Arabidopsis thaliana: one gene and its partner. The protein of the gene in region 2 interacts with the protein of the main gene of each other region in a pairwise test. Each region holds a gene or a part of one and is shown on either strand. Other genes may lie near its edges. The genes, in order: AT1G26650 and AT3G13680.

Region 1 (3,930 bases), on a different chromosome or scaffold from region 2:
ACTAATACGTAGAAGCATTTCATCGAACAGGTGGTGAACATCCCCAAGAGAGAACACAAACCACGTAACTACACTTTAAATATGAGAATCAAATTGGTTTCCAAACGAAACCCTATCAAAAATACATTCAAATACAGAGAATCCAACTCGATAAACGAGAAGGAATCTGAAAATCACAAAATTAGAGGTACAGATAACAGCAAAGGTCCAAGAGTATTTGACTCACGAGTCACGAGCAAAGAGATGAAATAGGTCCAGACACGTCACGACCGAACGACGGTGATTCTTTTGGTGACAGTGATGTTGAACGACGGTGGTTGTGACGGCGAGTGGCGACGCCGCGACGGTGAGGGAGACGAAGAATTATTTGGTGGTTTTACAATTTGACCGCTCGAGCACAGATTATTTAAACCATGCGAACCGGTTTGTTCTTACTTTTGGTTTTAATTTCAAGTCCTTTGTAATATAATTACCTTGCATAAAGGCCCACCTACTTTTTAATTTTACTATTTTACGCCCAAGATTTTCAAGACTCAATCAAACTGGCTAAAAAGAAACAAGAGCAGAACTATGAACGAACTTGGGATGCTATATAATCTTCAAACAATGTAAACAGAGAAACCATATATAACAAAAACCTTAAAGATGCATCAAGTTTCAAAGTGAAACAAAAAGTGCTCAATAAAACCCCATTTGATGATATACAACTTCTTCTTCAGCTAATACGTTTCCATGTCCATTCACCGAGTTTGATCCGCACAACGCACCATTACTCAGCATCCACAACCGTAACCGTTTCCATGATTGGCTGAGTTTCACCTCTAGAAGCTTCCATACTATAATAAACTCGGCAGCTAAAATAGAACACTGCACTCATCATCGAATCTATAAGTGTCACAAAGGAATACATCAACACCAAAAGAGGTCCTTCCCATAACCTCGAAGAGCCATCTCCATAACTAACTTTCTTCACTCTGTGATCAAACAATCCTTCCACAAACGCCAATCCTAAAGTTGATCCAAGGAACATCAACAAACCAACCTGAATCTGCCCTTTGATCAAATCACTAGCTCTCATCAATGCTCCTAACCCTGAAACATCTTCCAAAACCGAGATCACAATCGCAGTGTTGCAGATTATAATCGCGTTAGCGAAAACTACAGAGAAGGCTAAACCAACTAGCATAGCTCCATAAACATTGAAATCTGGAGAGAAGCCGAGAACAGAGAAGGAACTGCAGATTGCTACAAGAAGAACGCAAAAGAAAGTGAAGCAACCAACAATCAGAATGCAAATCCAAACGTAAGTGAACACAACTCTCCTCCATATCTTCTGCAATATAACCAAGAACTTGCTTATATCAACTACTTCCCTCGAGTAAGAACAATCCACTGAGTAAACCACAGCTGCTTTAGACAACAGAGACACAGTGATAAACACAGGGAAACACATTGCAGACGAAACAGCAGTTTCAGCGAATTTCTGACAAGAATGTTTGACAAAAGGCTGCAAAGGAAGACCACTTGATTTCGCCACTAAAAGAAGCTTCACTGTGAGTTTATTCACTAATGATTGATCAACTAAAAAGTTTGGTAAGAGCAAAGCAGAGACAGGACAGATCAAAACAGCAGTAGTTAACATTAAAGCACCAAGATTGTACCGGAGAATTCGAACTGTTTCTCTTAAGATCTCTAACGCATTTGAGGAGTGAAATTGTTTGTGACTGTATGATTTTAGCTCCGGTTTCCGTAAAACCTGATTCGTTTCCGTCTCCATGTTTCCGAGAGTGAAGTGTGTTTTAGCTGAGTTCGAGATTACATACCATAAAGGTTGATTTCACAAGCAGCGGAGATAGAAATCGAAGCAAAGAGAAGATCTTTCAGATAACCCAGGAATCAAATTGAAAAAAAAAGACGAATCTTGGAACGGATCTTGTCTACGTTCCAACAATAATTTTGATTAGAGAAAACAAAAAATGTAAGATTTCCAATTTTGTCGGTGGCACAAGTGAACGTGCTTTTGTCGGAGGTAATCTTCTTCTACTCCATCGCGAACTTGAAGCTAAACCGCTAATTTAACTGAAACCTTAAAACACTAAACCATAAACCCGGTTTGAAAAAATTGATCAATTTGGTTAGGCCCAATAATAGCTTAATGGGCTTCTTTAGAGGAATAAAAAGAAGAATATTTCTATGGAAAAAAAAAAAAAAAAAAAGAGAGAATCTTTCCGGTGAATGGGAAATGGCAAGAAGAAGGATACGAGTACGATGAAGTTGAGTTAGAGCGGGAGAGAGAGACATACCGTTGACCACTAAAGACGAGAGCTTTAGAGAGAGACGCAACAATGGAGCTGAATATTTCCGAGAGTCGAAGCAGATCAATTCGTTGCATTGTGAAACTTGGTTTGTCTTTTGATCCCTATTAAAATACTTGCTGGATCGATTCTTAGATCGCATTTTAGTTGTTCTGTCTTATGGGTTTGATTCTGATTTGACTATTGAATACCGAAGATGAGGAAAGACTTTAAAGATCTGTCTTTTATTCATTTCCCATCAATTTTACCTGTCTAGACTTTGTAACAGCAGAATGTCTAAATGATTTGATAGGAGGTGCGGCAATTACTTGCAAAAACGAGCTGGAGAAGATTCACGATGAAAATCTGGAGGTCGTGGCGTGTCAGTTACGTCAAGCTATGTTGGAGGGTTCAGCTCCAAGCAAGGTTATTGGCATGGATTGGAGCAAGAGACCTGGAAGCTCTGAGATTTCTTGTGATGTGGATGACATAGGGGATCAAAAGTCTTCTGAGTTTAGTAAATTTGTTGTGGTTCATGGCGCTGGTTAGTTGGAGATTGATTCTTATCTGCTTAAATCTTATAATGAAGGATCAAAATACATTTTTGATTTAGCTCTTACAGATCATTGACCTGCTTGTGTTAGTTGAGCTGTTATTTAGTTTTTGGGTTTCTTATGTGTTGTTCTGATTTTTGTCATTAGGTTCCTTTGGGCACTTTCAGGCCAGTAGATCTGGGGTTCACAAAGGAGGACTTGAGAAACCTATTGTCAAAGCTGGTTTCGTTGCTACTCGTATATCTGTGAGACTGTTAGCTAAATCTGATGCTCTTACGTAAGATAGTCTTGAGCTGTTCTGATAGTCTACAACTTCTTTTTGCAGGTGACAAATCTTAATCTTGAAATTGTACGAGCACTAGCCCGAGGTATCTCTTAAGCTTATTCTCTTTTCCTACTCTGGCTAAGAGGAAAAGATGAATTTTGAAGCTAAACATTATGATCTCTTGCAGAGGGCATTCCTACGATAGGCATGTCTCCATTTTCATGTGGTTGGTCAACCTCCAAAAGAGATGTAAGAGCTAACTGAACTTCTTAACATATTTCCTGATCTGAAGCATGTGGGTTTAGATTTCAATGAGACTGCTTTTTGCATTAGGTGGCTTCTGCAGATCTAGCAACCGTAGCTAAAACCATAGACTCAGGATTTGTCCCTGTAAGTTTTGATCCCACCAGTGAAATTAGGTAGATGTTTACCAAAGTCTCTTGACTGTAATTTGGACAGTAATTTTTGTCATGGCCAGGTTCTCCATGGAGATGCAGTGCTGGACAATATACTGGTAATATGCTCTCCAGAGATACCAAATAGCTATCTAGATTCTTGTCCGTTTAGAATTTGAACAGTTGAAAATCTTGTCCTGAACAGGGCTGCACCATATTGAGTGGTGATGTTATCATCCGTCATCTTGCAGATCATTTGAAGCCAGAATATGTTGTCTTTCTCGTATCCTATTCATAGTATAAACCGGAAATTTAATTTGTGTTCTCTCTCCCTCTTTCCTATATATTCTTTGTTATCTGAGTAACTCTTTACAAAGACAGATGTACTAGGTGTCTACGATCGACCACCTTCACCTTCAGAG
Region 2 (3,845 bases):
CCAAGTAAGTCAATCCTCTTCTTCTTCACATTACTACTCTATATGAAACACCTTTGAAACTAACTAACTTATGTTTCTTTGTTGGACAGAGAACATTGTCTCAAGAGAAGGAGTTGGAATTGCTATTCACACAGCTCTCCTTGTAAAATCCAGATTTTGATGTATAAGGAACTAATGTAATATAACTTTTTACTCGAGATTGCTTGTTGATTAATGACATGGCAACAAGCTAGTTTCTTAAGAAGTTGGTGTTTATTGGTTTTAATTGTATGTTTTAGTTTTCCCTTTGTATTGATCAATTGGATGAGGATGCAATGAAACGGTTTGAGTTTGAAGTTGAGAATAATATACCACAGTTTGTGGGATGAGTTTCCTTTAGGCCGTAACATATTTCCCGATAGTGACACTCGGATGATGAAAACCCACAAGTCGCTCAAATTGGAAGTAAATGGCACATTCAGAGAAGAAGTGAGACGCCCATTAATCGTTAGGAATGGAGTTGTATATTGGTCTTGCATTCAAAGAAGCTATGTTTTGAAGTGCGAGAGATGGGAGCAATCCAAGCTAAGCTATAAGCGTGGCATGGGTGGAATTGTCCTTGGCGCGAATGTGGGAGAAGGTTTGTGAATGGTTGCATTTGTGTACTCCAAATGGGTAAATTCAAGATGTTAAAAAGGTTGTTCAAGGATAAAGCTGAGGGAAGACTCAAAATTTATGCCTAATTTCATTCAAGAGTTTAAGAAACCAAAACACAGAACACGATGCATCAGACCACCAAACCATCAAACAAATGAAACATTTCCAATACCTCGAGTGTTTTTTTATAAACAGAGGCAGTAAATGATTCTCTTAACTTATCTATCTATTTCCATATGGACTCCTACATCTAAACAACTAGTATGATTTTAGTTAAAGGCCGAGCTGATTGTATCACAAAACCCCCCACTTCTTTATAAGCAGATAAATAGCAAAACACAAGTTAATGATCGTTCAAAAGAACATCAAAGTCAATGGAATGAAACAAAAGAAGATGATGCAAGAAAAATATAAAAAGTAGTGTAAATGGAACTAGTTACTTTCTTTCCTTTTGCCCGGTTTGTTGATTTGTAGTTGAACTAAGCTTGGAACATAGGAAGAAGAGCACACAAGTGGAACACAGTAAGCTTGGTACGAGTTCTTCGCGATATTTGGGGCAACTCCCATGTTGACAGATTTGAAGTATTCATCTTGTCCAATAATATAAACTATTTGGTAGCGACAGGTCTCAGTCGGTTTATATCTATCTAAATCAAAAACCACAGCAACTTTCTTCTCCTCATCAATGAAAAAGCTCCCAGAAAAAGTGTCAACCGGAAAACCAGTGGACGTTATCAAAAACTTGCTCCACGAAACCGTATTGGGATCAATCTTATTTGTAACACAAATCTCGATTGTCTCAAATGCCCCCCAGCGTTGATATAACACAGCGAGCTGCTCTTCCCTAACACAAGCTAGAGACACAAAAAAGTCTGCATTGTAAGAGTGAAACGGCAGTGGCAGAGGCGGTCCAAATCTCTCCCTTGTAAAATCGAAACAAAGTAGAACATCTTCAATATTTATTGTCTTTATTCCTCCCACTGTTTCTTTCTTTTGCGCAGGAAAATAAGCATTCCCTTTCAAAGACGCGCCACGAAAATGAGACTGTATATCCCACTCAGGAATGACATCAAGAACCTTCCATGAATTAGAGCTAAAATCGTAGACTTCGTACCCAAAAACGCGGTTGCTGCTTGGATACAAATCGAAAATCCTCAATATTTTGTGGTTACGGTTGTTATCATATCCAAGAGCATACCTATCTTCTATCTGGTAATTGTTTCTCGGATGGATCCACCTAGTTTGCCCCAAATAAGGGTTCCATACCAAGAGCCCTGTGTTGTCCTTAATGATGCATAGGACTAAACCGTCACAGTGAAAAACTTGAGAGACCTCGATTTGATCGAGTTTACTTACTTGCTTTATAGATGGCTCAACCAACTCCCCGTCGTCGTTTCTGATTCCTTGGAGATCAAATTTCATTGAACAAACCCTTGAATCCTTCATCATAAACCCCAGAAACTTATTCTCTGCTGCTGTTGCTTTTCTACCACAAATCTGACTTTTCGATAAAGAGTTCCACTTTTGGCAAGTAGATCGTATAGCCCTCAGAGATGTCAGCGGAACCCTAGAGAGTATCTCCTCTACCAAATCGCCTGGAAGATCGCCCATGGTCGTCATTCTTTCAAGCTTCAGCAATTTAGGTGTGGACGTTCTTAAAAAAGGCTGTTCTATTATGTGGATGAAGAAGCTCTATTAACAAAAAACCTAAAGTTCCTTGAGACTTGAGAGACACTCTACTTAATCCCGAAGCTTCCATTTTTATCTTTAGAGCCCATATTACTGGAGTTTGGTTGGTTTCGGTTGTTGCTGGTTAGTGTTGGTTTATATCTGGTTCACTAATTGCAGCATATTCCAAACGTCATCATCGATTCCATACACAGAAACATTCTTCCATTGTTTGTATAAATTACGCAGTTTTAGAAACATAAAAATAACGCCCCCAAAAATGACAACAAAAAAATTAGAAAAGAGAAGAATTTATGTGATGGTTAGTGGAGAATCTGAACTTCTCTCTTGACATGTTCAGATTTCTCTGCAAAAATGAGTTACCAAAAACAGTAACAAGGAACCTTTTGAGGGGGCAATTGGTCAATTAAAATGCAGGGGGTTTAAGGGGAGGTTACATTGCCCTGCAACCACGTGGGACCTGCTTCTGCCTCTGCGTGCGTTAGCTATGACACTGATCAACGCACCACCTGTGTCTAGTACTGAGTTGGCACCCATTAGCTTTAATCCAAGAGTATTCATCAGACACGATAGTTTGCTCTCATTACTATTTTCGTCCAATTCTTTGATCTTGTTAGCTTGCTCCCGGGAAAGAATAGTGTAAAGCTGAAGACGATTGGTTGGATCTTCTTCAAAGTTGTCAAAACAAACTCTGACTAATCCAAACGATTTCGGATCGTCGGTTAATGGGTTGAAGACAAATGACAACTTCCCTATTGCTATGTCGGGTCTTTTGAACATATCTTCAAGAACGTTTATGTTAACTCCACTATATCTTTGAACAGGTTTCTTTAGATTACTGCGAAGATAATTCGCAACATGTAGAATCTTTGAGGCTTCTCTTAAACCACTTAAGTAGGCACCGTGCATTGTGGCTGGATGTTGCCTTGTCGTGGCCTCACCAGCGAAGAATAGACGGTTACTAACACTTTCAGCAAGAATGTCATAGTCCACACCAGATGAACCAACCCTTACATGAGAATATGACCCATATGACAAAGGATCACTTCCCCATCTAGTGCAAACCGTCTGTATTGGGTCAGGCACAACAACACCTTTAGGACCATATATGCCTACAATTATGTCAAAAACATTGTTATGGCGAGAACTTGGAAGCAGCAAAAGGTTCATGACGTTATCAAATATTACCTCTGAGTTTTTTTAAAACACGGTGAAGTAAAACAGATGGTTCTGTGCACTCAAATCGTTGAGCAGCTTCTCCAGCAACTAAGGCAACCAAGGCAGGGCCACCAGAGACTGTATGGTAGGCATAGAATAGAAAAAACTCTCCTCGGTTGATGCTACTCTCGTTGAGGCATCCAAACGTGTCTAACTCATCACCCCAAAAGACAGATGGGAAAAGCATGGCAACTTTGTTCAGAAGGCCAAACCCCAACCTGTCAATTGCTGCTTGTTTTCTTCTAGGTAACTCCGGCTCAAACTTGATAGATCTCTTCTTCAAGACCCCAAGCGGCACAGTG

The links.
Region 1: the proteins of AT3G13680 (region 2) and AT1G26650 interact in a protein complementation assay, tested with the Arabidopsis thaliana proteins (one large-scale study listed by BioGRID).

What each region holds. Positions count from the first base shown.
Region 1 is NC_003070.9:9,208,182-9,212,111, reverse strand, and holds AT1G26650 (Son of sevenless protein), read right to left. Parts: upstream 2,062-3,930; 5' UTR 1,778-2,061; coding exon 770-1,777; 3' UTR 524-769; downstream 1-523. Other genes in the region: AT1G26640 (Amino acid kinase family protein), read left to right, coding at 2,346-2,403, 2,608-2,838, 2,996-3,093, 3,174-3,216, 3,301-3,362, 3,447-3,503, 3,592-3,627, 3,714-3,791 and 1 more.
Region 2 is NC_003074.8:4,476,466-4,480,310, forward strand, and holds AT3G13680 (F-box and associated interaction domains-containing protein), read right to left. Parts: upstream 2,287-3,845; 5' UTR 2,257-2,286; coding exon 1,069-2,256; 3' UTR 824-1,068; downstream 1-823. Other genes in the region: AT3G13677 (uncharacterized protein), read left to right, coding at 1-4, 92-142, 337-627; LDL2 (LSD1-like2), read right to left, coding at 2,728-3,437, 3,514-3,845.